Linked DNA regions of Canis lupus familiaris. The protein of the gene in region 1 interacts with the protein of each later gene in a biochemical or structural test. Links are inferred from orthologs where the notes say so. Each region holds a gene or a part of one and is shown on either strand. Other genes may lie near its edges. The genes, in order: SRPK2, PRPF38A, LUC7L and RBM15.

What was found.
Region 2: of the proteins of SRPK2 (region 1) and PRPF38A, one has a biochemical effect on the other in vitro, tested with the Homo sapiens proteins (2 studies listed by BioGRID and IntAct). The link is inferred for Canis lupus familiaris from reciprocal best matches to the Homo sapiens genes SRPK2 and PRPF38A.
Region 3: of the proteins of SRPK2 (region 1) and LUC7L, one has a biochemical effect on the other in vitro, tested with the Homo sapiens proteins (2 studies listed by BioGRID and IntAct). The link is inferred for Canis lupus familiaris from reciprocal best matches to the Homo sapiens genes SRPK2 and LUC7L.
Region 4: of the proteins of SRPK2 (region 1) and RBM15, one has a biochemical effect on the other in vitro, tested with the Homo sapiens proteins (2 studies listed by BioGRID and IntAct). The link is inferred for Canis lupus familiaris from reciprocal best matches to the Homo sapiens genes SRPK2 and RBM15.

What each region holds. Positions count from the first base shown.
Region 1 is NC_049239.1:15,286,266-15,291,435, reverse strand, and holds the start of SRPK2 (SRSF protein kinase 2), read right to left. Parts: upstream 3,124-5,170; 5' UTR 3,119-3,123; coding exon 3,023-3,118; intron 2,736-3,022; exon of another isoform or gene 2,721-2,735; coding exon of another isoform or gene 2,588-2,720; intron 2,235-2,587; exon of another isoform or gene 2,156-2,234; coding exon of another isoform or gene 2,140-2,155; intron 2,051-2,139; coding exon 1,996-2,050; intron 308-1,995; coding exon 248-307; intron 1-247. UniProt on the Homo sapiens protein: Serine/arginine-rich protein-specific kinase which specifically phosphorylates its substrates at serine residues located in regions rich in arginine/serine dipeptides, known as RS domains and is involved in the phosphorylation of SR splicing factors and the regulation of splicing.
Region 2 is NC_049236.1:9,001,397-9,006,083, reverse strand, and holds part of PRPF38A (pre-mRNA-splicing factor 38A), read left to right. Parts: intron 1-188; coding exon 189-348; intron 349-1,879; coding exon 1,880-2,001; intron 2,002-4,228; exon of another isoform or gene 4,229-4,600; coding exon 4,601-4,686; exon of another isoform or gene 4,687-4,687. UniProt on the Homo sapiens protein: Involved in pre-mRNA splicing as a component of the spliceosome.
Region 3 is NC_049227.1:40,768,307-40,772,993, reverse strand, and holds part of LUC7L (putative RNA-binding protein Luc7-like 1), read right to left. Parts: intron 2,946-4,687; coding exon 2,769-2,945; intron 1-2,768. UniProt on the Homo sapiens protein: May bind to RNA via its Arg/Ser-rich domain.
Region 4 is NC_049227.1:42,107,355-42,112,708, reverse strand, and holds the start of RBM15 (RNA-binding protein 15), read left to right. Parts: upstream 1-1,837; 5' UTR 1,838-2,169; coding exon 2,170-5,032; intron 5,033-5,354. UniProt on the Homo sapiens protein: RNA-binding protein that acts as a key regulator of N6-methyladenosine (m6A) methylation of RNAs, thereby regulating different processes, such as hematopoietic cell homeostasis, alternative splicing of mRNAs and X chromosome inactivation mediated by Xist RNA.

The DNA.
Region 1 (5,170 bases):
ATGTGAATAAATCATATCAAGCATTCCTTTAAAATAGTGTCTTAATTCAAAGAATTAAGCAAAAAATGGCACCCCATTAATCTGTTATATAATTGGGCTGGTCTCTTGTTAATTACCTTGCAAACCATTCAAGTCACTCTGCCACTGCCTGGGGGGCTTTTCCCTCAAATCTTACCACATAGGTACAGTTATCTCTGAGAGCAAAAACTGGATATTGTGGATATACGCTAATTCTTTATAAACATACCACATAAATCCAAACTGCAGCAGACCAAAAAAGGCTCTTGGCCATTAGGATAGTCATTCCCTGAAACATGAAAATATGAAATACGTGTTGACTTAGTTAACTAAAACTGCTTTTCTACACGCATGCCCACATACAACATACACATTACATACGTGTATACACACACATAGCCATTCCCAAAACCGAGGACGCGCTTTTTTTCCAATTCCCTTTTACATTTCTAAACATAATGCAATATGTGAAAATAAATGCTTTGTATTTAAGGTTGTTTTTAAAACCCAATACTCAGGATCCTAAACGTTACAGTTCTTCCTTACTCGCGGGCTTCATCTTCCGACATTCAAAGGAAATCCCAAATTTAAGGCCCTGACTTGAAAGCTGGCCAAGTCATTTTGTAAAGCATCTCCAACTACCGCGTCCATCCCGTTTTCACCTTTTAAGAATCCAGTATCAGATTTTTTTTTTTTACCCACCAGTTCCTCAATTCCTTCATAAGTATGTTTCCGTCACTCTAATATAATCTTTTTTTTTTTTTTTTTTGTCTTCCAAGAAAAGGCATTAACTATAGCGAGATGCCCATTTTGGAAAACCCTGAAAATGCTTTACAAGCCCTATCCCATCTCGAGTGAACAGAAAAATTGTCATGATAGCAGCACCGCGCTGGTGAGGCCTCAGGGCAGTGTTCAGGGAGGGCAGGAAATTCTGCAGGCAAGAGACCAAGGCGCCGAGGAGGGGGAAGCCCAGGAACGCCGCAGGGCGATCCCCCGAGACCCGGTCCTGAGGATGATCACGGGCCGCCGTTCCCTACAAGACCCCCAATGCCACGGAGTGTGTCTCGCTCCACAGGAAGGGAGAAGCCACGCATCCAGGAGCGAAAGACGCCGAAAGCCAGGGGCGGGGGCGCTGCGCGGTCTCCGAGCGGCTCTCCAGGAAAGGCTCCCCCTCGGGTCCGCGCGGACTGGGGGGCGGGGCGGGGCGGGGCGGGGCGGGGCGGGGGCTGGCACGGCTCCAGCAGGACCCCCTCCCGCCAGCTCCCGGGGCGGCGGGGGCGCAGCGCGGCTCGGCCCGAGCGCAAAGTTTCGACTGGAGACCCGGCGGGCGCCGGCGCGCTCAGGTCTCGGAGCTGGGCTGGCGCCAGGCACCCCCGGGCCGGCCGCTGGACACCCGGCTCCGGCTTTCCGCAAAGAGGCCGGGAGGCGGGGAGCCGGGGGGGAAGAGGAGGCCGGCCCCACGCGCGCGCACACACGCGCGGAGCCCACGGAGCACGCGGAGCCCACGGAGCACGCGGAGGACGCGGAGCCCACGGAGCACGCGGAGCACGCGGAGCGCGCGGAGGACGCGGAGGACGCGGAGCCCACGGCTCCCGGGCGCCGGTGCCCAGGTGCGAGCCGAGCAGCAGCCTCACGCCCGCACGCGGCGCGGCGGGGCGGGGACGCCAGCGACCCCGGCGGGCGGCGCGCAGGGAGGGGCGGCCGCCGGGGGAGCGGGAGCGGGTCCGGGGTCCGAGGGTCCAGGGTGCTCGGCCGGGCACCGCGGGCCCGCACGCGCCCTCCCCCGCCCGCCCGCCCGCCCCTCCCCCCGGGCCGCCCGCCGGGGCGCAGAGGCGAGCGCCCGCGTCCCCGGGGGGTGGGGGGGGGACGAGCCCGCCGACCCCGGGATCCCGCAACTTTCCCCTGCGCGGCCGCGGGCTGCCCTGCCCGGGCGGGGGCGGGGGGGCGGGGGCCCGGGGGCGCGGGGCACGGACTCACTTTTTCGGATGTTTCTCTCTTTTCGGCCTCCGCTTTCGGGCCTGAATGGCCAGCACTGGGGAAAGAGAAGACACCCATTAACGGTCGGGCCGGCGGCCGGAGGGGCCGCGCGGCGGGGAGGAGGGCTCGCCGCGGGCCACTCACCTTTCCGGGAGCTCATCCCGACGCGGCCGAGCGGGGGCGGGGGGCTCGGCGGCGGCGGCGGCGGCGGCGACGCGGGAGCCGAGCCGGGCCGGGCTGCAGCCTCCTCCACTCGCTCCGCCAGCCGGGAGGAGGCGGCCACCGCGCCTGCGCCGCCGCCGCCGCCGCCGCCGCTGCCGCTGCTCCCCGCGGGGGGCCGCCGAGACCCGCCCCGCCGGCCCCGCCCCCCGCCCCGCCCCGCCCCCGCCGGCCCCGCCCCGCCCCCCGCCCCCCGCCCACCTGCCCCGGCCGCGCAGCCTGCGGCCCGGCCTCCGCCCCCCGCGCCCCGGCCCCGGCCCCGGCCCCCGGCCCCGCCCCTCGGCCGCCCGGCCCCCGCCCCCCGCCCCCCGCCCCCCGCGTCCGGGGCCCCCCGCCCCCGCGGCCGCGGCCGCCCGGCCTCCGCCCCACGCACCGCGGCCCGGGCCCCCCGCCTCTCCGCGCTCCCCGCGCGCCCCTCCTCGGCCGGCGCCCCCGCGGGTCTCGCACCACCGCTCTTCGCGCGGCCTCTTCGCCCCCTTTGCTCCCCGACATCCCTGCATCCCCATGAGCGCCGCCCGCTCCCCTCTGGCGGCTGTGGAAAGGGCACAGGGCCGGGAGCGGGGACACCTGGGACCCGCACGAGCGTGTGACCTTGGGGAAGTCCTCTCCTCCTTCCGCCTCACCTAACCCCACTGCGGGCTTGGAGCGTAATGAGGGAAAAGATGCAAACGGCATGGAAAGCGTGATGAAGTCGTTGTTTTGTTTTGTTGGGTTCTTTGCACCTGAATTAAAGCCCAGCTCGCCAAACACCAAGCGTCTGACGATTTAACACAACAATCGCACCAAGCAGTTGTTGCCTACGTCTTACAGCGAGGAGGCGACGACGTCCAAAGTAGTTGAACAGTTTGCGGAGGGACCGTGCAAGTTCAGGCCTAGCTGACTCCAAAGCCTTTCCATGGATCATGCCGCCTGATAAAGATGGGAATCAAGCTGATAGTGGGTCCGAATGACAACTGCACTCTCTTCCTTTGTTTGTTTAAGTAATTACAGTGTCTTGGAAAGATATCCGCCCCACCGCGGACTCTCTCTGGTTCTACGACTGTGTTCTTAGCTGACCAAAGTAACTAGTCTGATCCTAAAGATGCTAAAACCAAAGAACTGAAAGCGCTGCTCAGACTTGATGGAACTTTTACTTTCTCAACATGTTTTTTTTAAGTTTTTATTTTAATCACCCAGAGGGAGTGGACTCTTTAATCCCCGGCACCTACTTCAGCCATCCCCACCCACTTCCCCTCTGGTAACCATCAGTTTGTTCTCTCTAGTTAAGTACTTTCTCAACTTTTTATTTTCAAAAAGATCTACCCTACAGAGAAGTTACGAGAAAAATATAATGAACACCCGTATTAACCCATATGCACCGATTTTTAACATTTCATCACATTTGCTTTCCTTGTGTGTATGTGTGCCTATGGAAGTTCCTTTGTTTCGTTTTTGCTGAATTATTGAAGTTTTTGCATCGTTACTCTTTACCCTTAACATGTCAATAAGTACCAAGAACAAGGATATTCTACGCAATCAGAATTCCATTATCATACCAAGAAAATTTAATATTAATACAGAGGCCATATTCACATTTTCAAAATGTCCCTTGTAGCTGACTTTTTTCCTATCCAGGATACAATCAAGAATCGTCCATTACATTTAATTGCCATGTCTTTTTTACACTCCTTTAGTCTAGAATAATCCCTGGTTGTTGTTGGGTTTTTTTTTTTTTTCTCTCTCTTTTATAACATTGACTTCTTTTGAGGAATCCAATTCACTGTTCTGCAGGATGTTCCTCAGTTTGTAGTCATCTGTTCCCTGTTAAAGTCAAGTTAAATAATTTTGGCAAGTACGCTATATGGATGATATTGTGTCCATCTCAGTATGTTGCAACAGAAAGGAAATGATGTCAGTTTGTTTCATTATTCGTGATGTTACATTTAATCATTTTTCTATAGTAAGGCCAGCTTTTATTCTTTTCTACTTAAAAAAGTGGTCTATGTTCAAAACGAGTAAAGGACTTGAATACACGTTTCTCCAAAGATATACAAATAGCCAACAAGTACATGAAAGATGCTCAATTTCCTTAGACAAATGCAAAGCAAAACCACAATGAGACACCCCTTTGCACCTACTAGGATGACTATGTTTTTTTAATAGAAAATAAAGGTTGCCTTGATCACCCAGTTGGTTAAGCGGTTAAGTGTCAGACTCTTGGTTTTGGCTTAGATCATGAACTCATGGGTTCTGAGATCAAGCCGGATGTCAAGCCCCATGTTGAGTCCCACAGGCTCAGCGTTCAGTGGGGATCCTACTTGAGACTCTCTGTCCCCTCCCCCACTCACTCTCACCCTTTCAAATAAATACATCTTTAAAAACAAATAGATAAAAAAATAATAATAAAAATGAAAAAAAACAAATAAATCAATGGAAAATAAGTCTTGTTAAGGATATTGAGATATTGGAATCCTTGTACATTGCTGGTGGGAATGTAAAATGGCGCAATCACTGTCAAAAACAGCCTCACAGTTCCTCAAAAAACAAAAAAGAATTATCAACAATTCCACCCCTCGGTATATATCCAAAACCATTGCAAACAGGTACTCAAATCTTTGTGCACAAATGCACATGGCAGTAATAATCACAGGAGCCAAAATGTTAGAAACAACTCAAGTATCCATCAACACATGAATAGACAAATTGCAGTATACACACACCATGAAATATTTTTCAGCCCATAAAAAGAGTGAAGAAGAAAAAGAAGAATGATACATGCTACAACATGGATAAACCTCAAAACATTATGCCAAGGGAAAGAAGCCAGACACAAAAGGTCTGTTTTGTATTGCATGATTCCATTTATGTGAAACATCTAGAATTAGCAAATCCACAGAAAGCAGATAGGTGGTGGCCAGCGGCTGGGGGGAGGGGAAATGAGGAGCAAGAGCTTAATGGATATAAGGTTTTATTTTGT
Region 2 (4,687 bases), on another chromosome or scaffold:
TATTGGCTGCTGTTATTATTATTACTATTAATACACACACTTCTAATATTAAATTGTTGATTAGTATTGAGGAGCACCAAACCTTGAACTAACTTATCTCCATTTCAGACTGGGAAGAGCTTGGCCCTAAATTATCTGAGATGCCACTTTGTTTTTGTTTTTGCCTTTGTTTTTTTTTTTTTTTTTAGCTGAACTTGTAGTGGATAAAGCCATGGAGTTGAGGTTTGTGGGCGGTGTCTATGGTGGCAACATAAAGCCAACTCCTTTTCTGTGTTTGACCTTGAAGATGCTTCAAATCCAACCTGAGAAGGATATCATTGTGGAGTTTATAAAAAATGAAGATTTCAAGTGAGTGAAATGTTGACTAGCTAATTTAAAAGCTTCAATTTCAGTGGGCCAGAATTTGGCTTCGGTTAAGAGGAGTGAAAGCAGTGTATCTTGTTTCAACAGAGTTCTACTCTAGGATTTTGGCTCCTGAGGTCTCCAGTGTGTATTTTGTCTGTTCTGATTGTATTGATCTTCTTTACATTCTCAGTCCTGGTAACTGCTCCTCTCCCCCAGAAAGCATTTCACAAATGGACTGAAAATATATTAAGCAGGAGTGAGCACTTAGTGTGTTCATAGCACTGGATGCTCAAAGATGAAGAAAACTACATCATGTGGTAGATAAGCAGGAGAACTTTGGTGTAGGTGGAGGGAGGTTCATGTCCAGGCTCTGTTACTTATTATGACCTTAGAGAAGTTTGTGAGCTTTACTTTCTTTACTTGTAAATGGAGATGATGATACCAGCTCAAGGTTGATAGGAGGGTTAAAGAAGATAGTGCTGTATATCTCACAACACAGTGCCTTTTGGTAAAGACTCCCAAAATGTCAGCTGCTCATATTCTTGTATTACTTATTCTCAAGGAACTCACAGACAAATATAAGAGACAAACATAGTAGCTAATTTTGTACCATCCTCTAAGGGATTTACATATAATCATTTACTTAACCTTCACAACAACCCTGCAAAATTATTATCTCCGTTACACAAGGTAGGAAACTTAGGACAGATTAATTTCCTTGAGGTCAGATACCTAGTAAGTGGTAAAGCTGGCTTCAGTGTTCAAATTCTTTACTATTCTGTTGTGTTTGTCATATAAAGAAACTGTTGAGTTTCAAATGCCTACTCGTTATTCCAAGTGAAGAATTTGAGTGGGTAGTTGGATATAGGAGAAAAGAAAAAGGAATCTTACAAAACAGTAACAGCTAGAAAATAGCTTTCTTACTATGTGCTATATGCTACGCTTAGCACTTTACACACATTTCTTACTAAGCCAACAAATTAGGCACAATCATCTCCATTTTACAAGAATTGAGAAAGCAAGTAACTTGCCTAATATAACAAAGTCAATAAGTAATGGAATCCAAATTGCAACGCAGATGACTTTTTTCCAGAACTAGCACTCTGTGCTGCCTAGCAACAATTATATATATATTCAAGTGTATGTATATTATTTCTTGTACTATTAGTAAACATATTTTATATGTTGTTAAATTCAGTATCTCATTTGATTCTTAGAGTAATCCTTTAAGGTAAATTGGTTCCTATTTTCCTGTCATATATAGACTCTAAATAGACTCTAAATATGATAGACTCTGAAAGTTGAGCAACATGTCCCAAGTTCCTGCAGCCAGTAAGTGGTAGAATGGGAACTTGAACCCAGGTTTCCATATTTTAGCTTTCTTTCTGCTCCATGTTGCCTCAAAATTGCAGTTCTCTCATCGCCAAAGAAGAGAAAGAACTTGTTCATCCACTGCTTTCATGAGAAAAGCCAGGTATGCAACTCAAGAACAAGAACTTTTTAGGATGGCCTACTGTTTGTCTTCTTCTGTCAGGTATGTCCGCATGTTGGGAGCACTTTACATGAGGCTGACAGGCACTGCAATTGATTGCTACAAGTACTTAGAACCTCTGTACAATGACTATCGAAAAATCAAGAGCCAGAACCGAAATGGGGGTGAGTATGGTGCTAAGGGTCTGGACCTTCCTCCCTGAACCAGTTTTTATTTCACCAATATTTCTGCTGCTTTTTTTTTTTTTTTTTAAGATTTTATTTATTTATTCATGAGAGACAGAGAGAGATAGAGAGGCAGAGACACAGGCAGAGGGAGAAGCAAGCTCCATGCAGGGAGCCTGATGTGGGACTCGATCCCGGGACTCAATCCTGGCACTCGATCCTGGCACTCCAGGATTACGCCCTGGGCCGAAGGCAGGCGCTCAGCCACTGAGCCACCCAGGGGTCCCCATATTTCTGCCTTCTTGTTGTAACATTGTGAATGCCCATCATCGTTGTTGTTACGGTCTTCATTTCAGGTTCTTCACCTCCTGCATGGAGTATTCCATTAGACTCCTAGCTTCCTGTTAGTCTTGCCCAATCTGCCCTTGTCTGCCTACTTTTCCAACTACATCTTATATCAGTCTCAGTCTTGCATCATGTACTTTTTCCAATGTACTCCATCCCATCTGATCTGCCTCCAGAATGACCTCGTAAAAGCCTTACTCAGACCTCCCAAAGTTAGTTTTCCATGTGTTACATCATCACGGTTATTATTTTTTTTAATATTCTATTTATTTATTCATAAGAGACACAGAGAGAGAGAGGGGCAGAGACACAGGCAGAGGGAGAAGTAGGCTCCAAGCAGAGAACTCGACATGGGACTCGATCCCGGTCTCCAGGATCACGCCCCGGGCTGATGGTGGCGCTAAACCACTAAGCCACCTGGGCTGCCCTTTTTTTTTTTTTTTTTTTAAGATTTTACTTATTTGAGAGAGAGAGAGAACAGGAGCAGGATGGAGGAGGAGAGGGAGAAGCAGATTTCTCGCTGAACATTGAGCCCAACATAGGGCTCAGTCCCAGGACTTTGGGATCATGACCTGAGCCAAAGGCACACACTTAACTGAGCCACCCCAGTGCCCCATCATCACAGTAATTTTTAGTGGCCTCTTTTTTTTTTTTCCCCAAGACTTTATTCATTGATTCATGAGAGACAGAGAGAGGCAGAGACAGAGGGAGAAGCAGGCTCCATGCAGGGAGCCCGATGCAGGACTCGATCCCGGGACTCCAGGACCATGCCCTGAGCCAAAAGCAGATGCCCAACCGCTGAGCCACCCAGGCGTTCCTTCTTCTCTAGCACTGTACTTCCCACTGCAGTATAAGTTAAGTGTACTCAGACTTACATAGGAATCCCACAGTGGGCAGCTCCATACATTTTACAAAGATATTTTTTGTGGAAAAGGCAGATTCAGGGTAATGCAGTCAAAACCTTTTTCTTCTTAGTGTCTAACTAGAATTTGCTTTTTACCTCTACATGTAACATTAAGAAATAGAAAGCCAAGAATTTGTTATTTTACTTTAAACTTTTATTAACTTATTACCTTGTTTATTGAATACATAATTAAGTGCCAGTATCATGCCAGGTACTGTGCTACATACTGAAAATAACATGGTGAACAAGATGGACATGGTTATGGCCGTCATGGAATTACTTATGTTTATATTATGTTAAAAACTAAGATGGGGTTACTCAACCTATTGACAATTTGATCCAGATGATTCTTTGTTATGCGGAGCTGTCCAGCCCATTGTAGGATGTTTAGCCATATCCCTGGCCTCTATCCACTAGTTGTGGGTGACAAAGTTAACTGCTGCTTGAGAACCACTGAACTAAGGTAATGTTTACTATAACAATTCTAAAAAGCTTTTGCTTTACCATATAAGATACATGCTGTATATTTAGAAATATAGCGGGTTCACATGAGAAATTGTACTTGAGTTATATAATCTATTCAAGAACATCACCGTGGGTGGCTTGGTTGGTTAAGCATCTGCCTTCAGCTCAGGTCATGATCCCAGGGGTCCTGGGAGTAAGCCCCGTGTCAGGTTCCCTGCTCCGTGGGAGCCTGCTCCTCCCTCTCCTCCCTGCTCTTGCTCTCCCTGTCTCTCTTTCTCTCAAAAAAAATAAAAAAATAAAAAAATAAAACTTTTTTATAAATAACATCACTCCTGGGCACTTGGATGGCTCAGTCAATTAAACATCTGCTTTTGGCTCTGGTCATGATCCCAGGATTCTGTAATTGAGTCCTACATCGGGCTCCCTGCTCAGTGGGGAATTTGCTTGTCCCTCTACCTCTCCCCCCTGCTGTACTCTCGCTCTCTTAAATAAAATCTTAAAAAAAAAAAATCACCCCTATACCACTTAGATCTGTTTGTGCATGCTTTTGTGTTGGGTCTCCTGCTAATTGGGACAGCTTCATTCATCTCTTTATCCTCAGCTCCAAGAAGAGGCCTGATACAGATGGCCTCAGTAAAGGTGAGCTGAATGAATGAGGTAAGTGATGACAAGGCTATGAATGACTGTAGTTTGACCCCAGGTCTGATTAGTAATCCCTTCTCTGTAACCACACTGAGTGGTTTTATTAGTAAATGTGTAGGGAAGGGAGGCTGCAGAGGATTCACACTTTCTATACCAAGTATTTTATAATAGAGTCTTGCACTTTTATTTTTTGACTATATAAATTTATTTCCAAGTTGCCTGAGCATATGATTGTTCTTTCAGAGTTTGAACTGATGCACGTAGATGAGTTTATTGATGAACTGCTGCACAGTGAGAGAGTCTGTGATATCATTCTACCCCGGCTACAGG
Region 3 (4,687 bases), on another chromosome or scaffold:
CTCCTCAAAGCACTCACAAGGTGCGAGAGAGCCTTCCTATTTGGCACCTCCAGTTCTCCACCCCTGGCTTCACTTGTCCTGGATCTGAGCAGGCACAAAAAGATGGCTAAAGTTAAAGATGGAGAGTTTCAGGGACCCCTGGGAGGCTCAGCAGTTTAGGGCCTGCCATCAACTCAGGGCATGAGCCTGGGGTCCTGGGATCGAGTCCCACGTCGGGCTCCCTGCATGGAGCCTGTTTCTTCCTCTGCCTGTGTCTCTGTCTCTCTCTCTCTCTCTCTGTGCCTCTCATGAATAAATAAATAATCTTTTTTTAAATAAATAAATAATCCTAAAAAAAAAAAAAAGATGGGGAGTTTCAGCCCCTCAACTTCCACACACATTCCTAAAGAAGATGTGACCAAGCACAGGGCTATGGTCTGGCATTAAGACCTTTACAAACCTCCCTACTTCCAAGACACTGTCCTTCCACCAGTAACAAAAAAGGCCTTGCCTCACTATTACCTGGGCATGTGGCCTGGAGGTTTGAGTACCTCTGGGACCACTGTAAGTGAAGCCATCTCAGATTAGGGCCCAGAACACTCCTGCTTCTTACTGTTTAGAGGTGCACTTCCTGACACATTTTTTGTTCTTAGTGTAACAGCTATAATCAAAATCTATTAATATATTTGTGTTGTTCTGGTCAACTTTGAACAAGTTGTAACTGCAATGACAAAACACGCTTTCTAGATCTAGTTAATACTTAAGACCTTAAGGGGATGCCTGGCGGGCTCAGCTGCTCTCGATCTCAGGGTTTAAGTTTCAACCCCAGGTTGCATACAGAGATTACTTAAAAATAAAATCTTTAAAAAACAAAAACTTAAGTTTTTAAGGCTTCAGGGGAAAAATTTCAATGTAGTTTCATCTCTGTTGGAGAAGTATGTCTTAAGAAAGAAGTAAAAGGGGAACCCTGGGTGGCGCAGCGGTTTGGCGCCTGCCTTTGGCCCAGGGTGTGATCCTGGAGACCCGGGATCGAATCCCACGTCGGGCTCCCAGTGCATGGAGCCTGCTTCTCCCTCTGCCTGTGTCTCTGCCTCTCTCTCTCTGTGTGTGTGACTATCATAAATTTAAAAAAAAAGGGAGCCCTGGGTGTTGCAGCGGTTTGGCGCCTGCCTTTGGCCCCGGGCGCGATCCTGGAGACCCGGGATCGAATCCCACGTCGGGCTCCCGGTGCATGGAGCCTGCTTCTCCCTCTGCCTGTGTCTCTGCCTCTCTCTCTCTCTCTCTGTGTGACTATCATAAATAAATAAAAATTAAAAAAAAAAAAAAAGAAAGAAAGAAGTAAAAGGTTTTCATGTATAAAAAAGTATCAGGAGAAAATTATGGGGTGATATGAAATGGAAATACAGTTTAAAGGAGAAATGGAAGGGGCAGCTCGGTGGTTCAGTCCATTAAGTGTCTGACTCCGGCTCAGGTCATGATTTCAGGGTCCTGAGATCGAGCTCCACATCAAGCTCCCTGCTCAGTGGGAATCTGCTTCTCCCTCTCCCTGGGATTCTTTTTGTGATTCTTTCCCCCTCTGCCCTTCCCTTCTGCATTCTCTCTCTCTCTCTTACTCTCTCTCTCTCTCATACACACACACACACACATACACACACAGTCAAAAAAATAATTTAAAAAAAAGTAGGGATCCCTGGGTGGCTCAGTGGTTCAGCGCCTGCCTTTGGCCCAGGGCATGATCCTGGAGACCCGGGATTGAGTCCCGCGTCAGGTTCCCAGCTTGGAGCCTGCTTGTGTCTCTGCCTTTCTCTATCATGAATAAATAAATAAAATCTTAAAAAAAAAAAAAAAAAAGGTAACAAAGTATCACTTTTCAATATTCTATAGGGAGTACAGGAGCAAAATGTGATTTTCAGTCCAGTGGCTGTCCCCCCAACTCCAGTCCCTGTGCCAGACTCACACCTCACCTACTGGCAACCCCTCAAGTGCAGGGCTCTGTCCCCTGCTCCCTCTAGGGGCACACAAGGCTCTCTGCCTTGACTGTCAGTGTCCCAGTCATGTGCCATGTGTCTGTCTTTCCATCAAATGTCATGTGTCTGGAGGGAAGGGCTGCACAGTTCCCAGTGCAACATCCTAGTGGTCCCTGTAGGCAGCAGGGAAGATTCCACCAGTCTGAAAAGTAATCCAAACTATCTGAAACATATGTTCACCCTTCCTTCTTAGTGTTCTGTATCCAAGGTAAGTTTTACAGTCTAACCCAGGAAAAAAAGGAGCCTTGAGGAAGAAATAAAGGTAGGCAGGGGTGGAGCAGCACTATCCTAAAAGCCCCACCACATTCTCAACCTCCCGAGGAGGCTCAAAGGCAAGGGCCAGAAGTGTGATCTTTGTCCAGCCTAACCACTCTCCACACGTCCGCCCCTGCCCAACCCTCATCTCTGTCTAACCTAACCACACATCCACCTTTGCCTAAGGATAAAAATGAGACTACTGGCTCTTCCCATCTTCAAATACAAGTTATTTCAGAGCTGTGCAAAAGCTCTCTATACCAGAAGACTGGATTCTGCGTTTTTTCCTGCACAAGAAGTACAGACTAAACAAATATCCAAGGTCCTTTTGGATTAAGACCTTAGTTCTCTTGTGTGAATGAAGTGATGAAATCTGAATATTTCACTCTAAAACTCAAGGCACATTCTTAGAAAAGATCAAAACATGAGTTTTTCTAAAAGTCAAGAAATATGGAGACAATCACAAGACTTCTTGGGTTTCTCCAGAAACACAATACATCAACGTACCCTCAACTGATCAAGCTTCTCTCGGATCTGAATGAACCCCAAGTGTAACTTGCCCCCGAAGTGGTCTGCAAGACGACGGTCATTGTCATGGAGCCCAAGGTAGGCTGAACAGACCTCACAGACACGCAGCTTCTGCTGTTGGAAACTGGATGCAGGCATGGAATTTCTGTATTCTTCCTGGACAACGAGAACAGAGTAATCAAAGTGAGGTACACAGAACTGCAAGCAAATATTCAACCCCCAAAATGGAAATATTGGAAAGGACTACAGAGGTGACTTTTAAATAACAGAAATCGAATCATTTACAAGCTTTAGATATTTTTAACTGATTCAATTTCCATCATTTATTTATGAAATGAACTAAGAATCATGATTTCAAAGCAATAAGGAACATTCAAAAACTCTCAGACAAGCAGGATGCAGTGTTCTCAGAGGCCAGCAGGAATGGCAGGTCTCAGTTATGTGCAGTGGAGAGCGCTAGGAGGACCACAGAATCAAGAAGGGAGACTCTTCAAAGGGGGCCTTCATAAAACAAACACAAAAACCAAACCAAACAAGCAACATACAAAAGCTCCTCATCGAAGACTACGTCCCAAAGTCCAGAAATGCTGCCCTAAAAGCTAAAATACTAATGGACAAAGAAGTTAGACACTCTCTTCAATAAAGAACATGTCCAACAGAGCAGACCAAAATGCACCCCCTCTGGCAGCCACTCGTCAGAACAGATAAAATGAAGAACAAACGAAGCAGGACATGGCTCCTGGTGCTGGTGCCAAAGTCAGAGCATGCCTTCAAAACCCAGGTTTTGGGGATGCCAGGGTGGCTCAGAGGTTTGGCCCTTGCCTTGGGCTCAGGGCGTGGTCCTGGGGTCCCGAGATCGAGTCCTACATCGGGCTCCCTGCATGGAGCCTACTTCTCGGTCTCTCATGAATTAAAAAACAAAAACACATGAATTAAAACACAAAACCAAAAACAAACAAAAAAACACTCCACCAAAACCCAGGTTTTAAGAAATGCATTCCAACAGCTACTGATTTTTTTTTTTTTAAAGATTCTATCCATTTGTTCATGAGAGACACAGAAAAAGAGAAACAGGCAGAGACACAGGCAGAAGGAGAAGCAGGCCCCACACAGGAAGCTTGATGCGGAACTCAATCCCGGAACTCCGGGATCATGCCCTGAGCCACAGGCAAGTGTTCAACCGCCAAGCCACACAGGTGTCCCTAAATAATCAAATTTTCTACTCAACTGCATTCTAATGAACTCTCATCAGGTTTTTTTTTTTTTTTTAAGATTTTATTTATTTATTCCTGAGACACAGAGAGAAACAGAGACACAGGCAGAGGGAGAAGCAGGCTTCCTGTGGGGAGTCTGACATGGGACTCAATCCCGGGACTCCAGGTTCACGACCTGGGCTAAAGGCCAGGTGCTAAACCTCTGAGCCACCCAGGGATCCCCCACAGCCACTGATTCTTTTCTTTTTTTTTTTTTTTTAATTTATGATAGGCACACAGTGAGAGAGAGAGAGGCAGAGACACAGGCAGAGGGAGAAGCAGGCTCCATGCACCGGGAGCCCGACGTGGGATTCGATCCCGGGTCTCCAGGATCGCGCCCTGGGCCAAAGGCAGGCGCTAAACCGCTGCGCCACCCAGGGATCTCACAGCCACTGATTCTTAAAGGGATCTTCCATTAGTTTATATGTTCAAACTTCCCTGGCAAATGCAGATTACAATGGGACACAATGTCACTCACTAAACTGGCAAAGTCAAAAAATAAGGTACTCTCATACCTTGCTGGTAGGCAATGATGTTGGGGCAACTAACAGAATGCAACTGAATTAGCTGCGAAAGCAAGACAGGTGCAAGCCATTACCAGGAACCCTTCTGGGCATATGTCCTAGAACATGCTCATACGTGTGC
Region 4 (5,354 bases), on another chromosome or scaffold:
GAAATGTACCAGATAAGCCTGGAACAAAATAACGAGGGGGAAGAGTGGGAAGAGAATGTATGCTAAACAAGATTGACATGGGTTGCTAATTGTTGAAATGGGGTGTTGGGTACATGGGAGACCTTTATATTCTTTTTTTTTTTTTTAAAGATTTTTAAAAAGTTATTTATTCATGAGAGACACAGAGAGGGAGGCAGAGACCCAGGCAGAGGGAGAAGCAGGCTCCACGCCGGAAGCCCCACGCGGGACTCGATCCCGGGCCCCGGGGTCACGCCCTGGGCCGAAGGGTAGTTAGTTGCTCAACCACTGAGCCCCCCAGGCGGCCCAGTATTCTATTTTTTTTAATTTTTATTTATTTATGATAGTCACAGAGAGAGAGAGAGAGAGAGAGGCAGAGACACAGGCAGAGGGAGAAGCAGGCTCCACGCACCGGGAGCCCGACGTGGGATTCGATCCCGGGTCTCCAGGATCGCGCCCTGGGCCAAAGGCAGGCGCCAAACCGCTGCGCCACCCAGGGATCCCCCAGTATTCTACTTTTTTATTTTTTTCTATAAAAGTAGTTTAAAGGAATCTAAAAATAATTGCTATTTTAAGAAAACGAGATGGTAATAACATACACGTGGTAAAACAAGTTTCCTTTTAATAGAAGAAATGCTAGAATGACATGCAATGACAAGCTGAGTCTCCCGCCAGACCGTCCAGCCCCGTCTCAGGGCGATCTTAGTGGCCACTCCCTAAGTACCGCCGTGAAGTTTCTATGGAAAAATCAACAAAAACACAGGCAGCGCCGCCGCCATGTCCCGTGGAGAACCCCCCGCGGCAGTACGTCCCACACCCTGGCCCACTCGCGGGCTTTGGCAGCTGGTCCTGGCACGCGGGGGAGCGTGCGCCCGCTGCCGCGACGTCCTCACACCAGGCTTCCTCCATCCGAGCAAGAAGCGAAATCCCTATCGCTTCCCTCGACGTCATGCGGGGAAGGGGGGCGAAGGCAGAGCCGGACTCTGCAGCCCCGGCCCTGACGCGGCTCCCAAGCTCGGGTTCGGGCAACAGCCGTGTCCCCCGAGAAGGGCCTCGGGGTAGGCGGGTAGGCGGCGGGGAGGGCCGGCCCGGGCTTCCTGGCCCCCCCTCCCCCCCTCCCCCGACGCCCGAGCACCTGCTCCGGCTGCCGGACTCACCTCACGACGGGCGGGCCCCGGGGGGTCGGCGAGGCGGCGCGAGGAGCCGCGGGGCGCACGCCCACGGCTGCACGCGGACGTCGGCCCTCGCCCGGTGACGGGGCGCGACGTAGGAAGAGCGAACCGACCGACGTCGCCGGGCGGCGGGGAGCGCCCAGGAGGCCGGCCCGGGCGAGCCCCACGGCCTGCGGCGCTCTCCGGCTGCCGCGGCCGGCCTCCTGGGGACCGCGCCCCGAGGGCTCGGTCCCCGCACAGGCCCCGAGCGGGCGGCCCAGGCACACCCACGGACGCCGCGGGACCCCATAAGTGCCCCGTAAATGCCCGTGGACGGAACGCCGCGAGCGGCCGGGGGCGGAGCCAGCGCCGTGTCAGCCTCTCGCGACGTCCCGGTGACGCCGCACGGCGAGCGCGCGGTCCGCTCTTTCACCTTCAGTCAGCCTCCTCCGTGTACGGCCTGCCCCTTTAAGCGGATGACGGACAGCTATTTCAGCCTATCAACTCCCTCGTCAGCATCCAATCAGATTTAAACTTCTTACAGCCGTCCGAGGAGTTGGAAGAAGAGGTCGAGAAAGGGAGCGCTTTCTGTCTCTCGCGAGAATGTTGTAAGCGGGCCTCTCAGGAAAAGCGCCAGAACAGATGGCCCGACTTCCCAAATAGTGAGTTAAAGGACGGGGTCGGAAACCAATGAAAGGAATGAGGAGGTGGGATCACCGCTTTTACCGCGCCAGAAGTACCGTTACAGGGCAGACTTTTCGCCCAATCAGCGCCTCCCGAGTTTGGGTCAGGTGACCCTACAGTGCGAGGGGCGGAGCTGCGGCCTGGCGCGAGGAGCCGTTAAGATGGACAACAAATACGACCAATGAGGTACTCGGACCCGGGCGTTGGGAGCCCAATAACAGCGGGCGGGCGGGCGCCTTTCCGGAGCGCGGGGAGATGTGAAGACGGACGGGACGTTTTCCCAATGAGCCTGTAGCAGAGAGGAGCCAGCTGACCAATGAGGGCCGCGGGGCGGGAGCCTCTGCCGCGGCGGAGTCCAAGATGGCGGCGTGCGGTTCCGCTGTGTGAAACGAGCGCGGGGCGGCGGGCTCAGCATCTCCGCGGAGACGACCTCCGGCGACCCGCAACAATGAAGGGGAAGGAGCGCTCTCCGGTCAAGCCCAAACGCTCCCGCGGTGGTGAGGACTCGACTTCCCGCGGGGAGCGGAGCAAGAAGTTAGGGGGCTCTGGTGGCAGCAATGGGAGTAGCAGCGGAAAGACCGACAGCGGCGGCGGGTCGCGGCGCAGCCTCCACCTGGACAAGTCCAGCAGCCGAGGCGGCAGCCGCGAGTATGACACCGGCGGGGGCAGCTCCAGTGGCCGCCTGCACAGTTACAGCTCCCCGAGCACCAAAAATTCCTCGGGCGGGGGCGAGTCGCGCAGCAGCTCCCGGGGTGGAGGCGGGGAGTCACGTTCCTCCGGGGCCGCCTCCTCAGCTCCCGGCGTTGGGGACGGCGCGGAGTACAAGACGCTGAAGATCAGCGAGTTGGGGTCCCAGCTGAGTGACGAGGCGGTGGAGGACGGACTGTTTCACGAGTTCAAGCGCTTCGGTGATGTAAGTGTCAAAATCAGTCATCTCTCGGGCTCTGGCAGCGGGGATGAGCGAGTAGCCTTTGTGAACTTCCGGCGGCCAGAGGACGCGCGGGCGGCCAAGCATGCCAGAGGCCGCCTGGTGCTCTATGACCGGCCGCTGAAGATCGAGGCGGTGTACGTGAGCCGCCGCCGCAGCCGCTCCCCCTTAGACAAGGATCCCTACCCGCCGTCGGCTGGCGTGGTGGGCGCCTCCGTGGGCGGACACCGGCACCCCCCTGGAGGCGGCGGCCAGAGATCGCTTTCCCCTGGTGGCGCGGCCCTGGGGTACCGAGACTACCGGTTGCAGCAGCTGGCTCTTGGCCGCCTGCCCCCCCCGCCTCCGCCACCGTTGCCCCGTGAGCTGGAGAGAGAGCGAGACTATCCGTTCTATGAGAGAGTGCGCCCGGCGTACAGCCTGGAGCCCAGGGTGGGAGCTGGAGCAGGTGCTGCTCCTTTCCGAGAAGTGGATGAGATCTCACCCGAGGACGATCAGCGAGCTAACCGGACGCTTTTCTTGGGCAACCTAGACATCACTGTGACAGAGAGTGACCTAAGAAGGGCTTTTGACCGCTTTGGAGTCATCACAGAGGTAGATATCAAGAGGCCCTCTCGGGGCCAGACCAGTACCTATGGCTTCCTTAAATTTGAGAACCTAGACATGTCTCACCGGGCCAAACTAGCAATGTCTGGCAAGATCATTATTCGGAATCCTATCAAAATTGGTTATGGTAAAGCTACACCCACCACTCGCCTCTGGGTAGGTGGTCTGGGACCTTGGGTGCCTCTTGCTGCCCTGGCACGAGAGTTTGACCGATTTGGCACCATCCGCACTATAGACTACCGCAAAGGTGATAGTTGGGCATATATCCAGTATGAAAGCCTGGATGCAGCTCATGCTGCCTGGACCCATATGCGTGGCTTCCCACTTGGTGGCCCAGATCGTCGCCTTAGAGTAGACTTTGCAGATACAGAACATCGTTACCAGCAGCAGTATCTGCAGCCTTTGCCCTTAACTCATTACGAGTTGGTGACAGATGCTTTTGGACATCGGGCACCTGACCCTTTGAGGGGTGCTCGGGATAGGACACCACCCTTACTCTACAGAGATCGTGACAGAGACCTTTATCCTGACTCTGACTGGGTGCCACCCCCGCCCCCAGTTCGTGAACGCAGCACTAGGACTGCAGCTGCTGCTGTGCCTGCTTACGAGCCCCTGGATAGCCTGGATCGCAGGCGAGATGGCTGGTCCTTGGACCGGGACAGAGGTGAGCGAGATCTGCCCAGCAGCAGAGACCAGCCTAGGAAGCGAAGGCCGCCCGAGGAGAGTGGGGGCCGGCACCTGGATAGGTCCCCTGAGAGTGACCGTCCCCGAAAACGTCACTGTGCTCCTTCTCCCGACCGCAGCCCGGAATTGAGCAGTAGCCGGGATCGCTACAACAGTGACAATGATCGATCTTCTCGTCTTCTTATCTTGGAAAGGCCCTCTCCAGTCAGAGACAGGCGAGGAAGTTTGGAGAAGAGCCAGGGTGACAAGCGAGACCGTAAAAACTCTGCATCAGCTGAACGGGATAGAAAGCACCGGACAACTGCTCCCACTGAGGGAAAAAGCCCTCTGAAAAAAGAAGACCGGTCTGATGGGAGTGCGCCTAGCACCAGCACTGCTTCCTCAAAGCTGAAGTCCCCTTCCCAGAAACAGGATGGTGGGACAGCCCCCACCACTGCAGCCTCTCCCAAGCTCTGTTTGGCCTGGCAGGGCATGCTTCTATTGAAGAACAGCAACTTTCCTTCCAACATGCATCTGTTGCAGGGTGACCTCCAAGTGGCTAGTAGTCTTCTTGTGGAGGGCTCAACTGGAGGCAAAGTAGCCCAGCTCAAGATCACTCAGCGTCTTCGTTTGGACCAGCCCAAGTTGGATGAAGTAACTCGACGCATCAAAGTGGCAGGTCCCAATGGTTATGCCATTCTCCTGGCTGTGCCTGGAAGTTCTGACAGCAGGTCCTCCTCTTCCTCAGCCACATCAGACACTGCCACCTCTACTCAGAGGCCACTTAGGAACCTTGTGTCCTATTTAAAGCAAAAGCAGGCCGCTGGGGTGATAAGCCTTCCCGTGGGGGGCAACAAAGACAAGGAAAACACCGGGGTCCTACATGCTTTCCCACCCTGTGAGTTCTCCCAGCAGTTCCTGGATTCCCCTGCCAAGGCACTGGCCAAATCTGAAGAAGATTACCTGGTCATGATCATTGTCCGTGGTGCGTCCTAAAGTCCATGTATAACTTGTATTTACTACTTTGACATGGTTCCTGTTTTGTGATGTGTAATGGGATACAGCATCAGATGAAATTTTCTTTTGAGTTAGTTTGTTTAGTTGAAGCTTTTTTTCTTTTTTTTATATTTTTATAAACCTTTGAAATAGAAGACAGGACAGTTTAGCTATTAAGTGAAAGGGATGCCCTGAAGGTAGCAGGCAGATGGATTTATTTTAATTAGGAGTTCCTACTCTTAGTAACTTCTTTTCCCCTTCTTTTTCTTGTTGTGTTTTTTTTCCCCCCCCTTAACCTTGAGCTTAAAAAA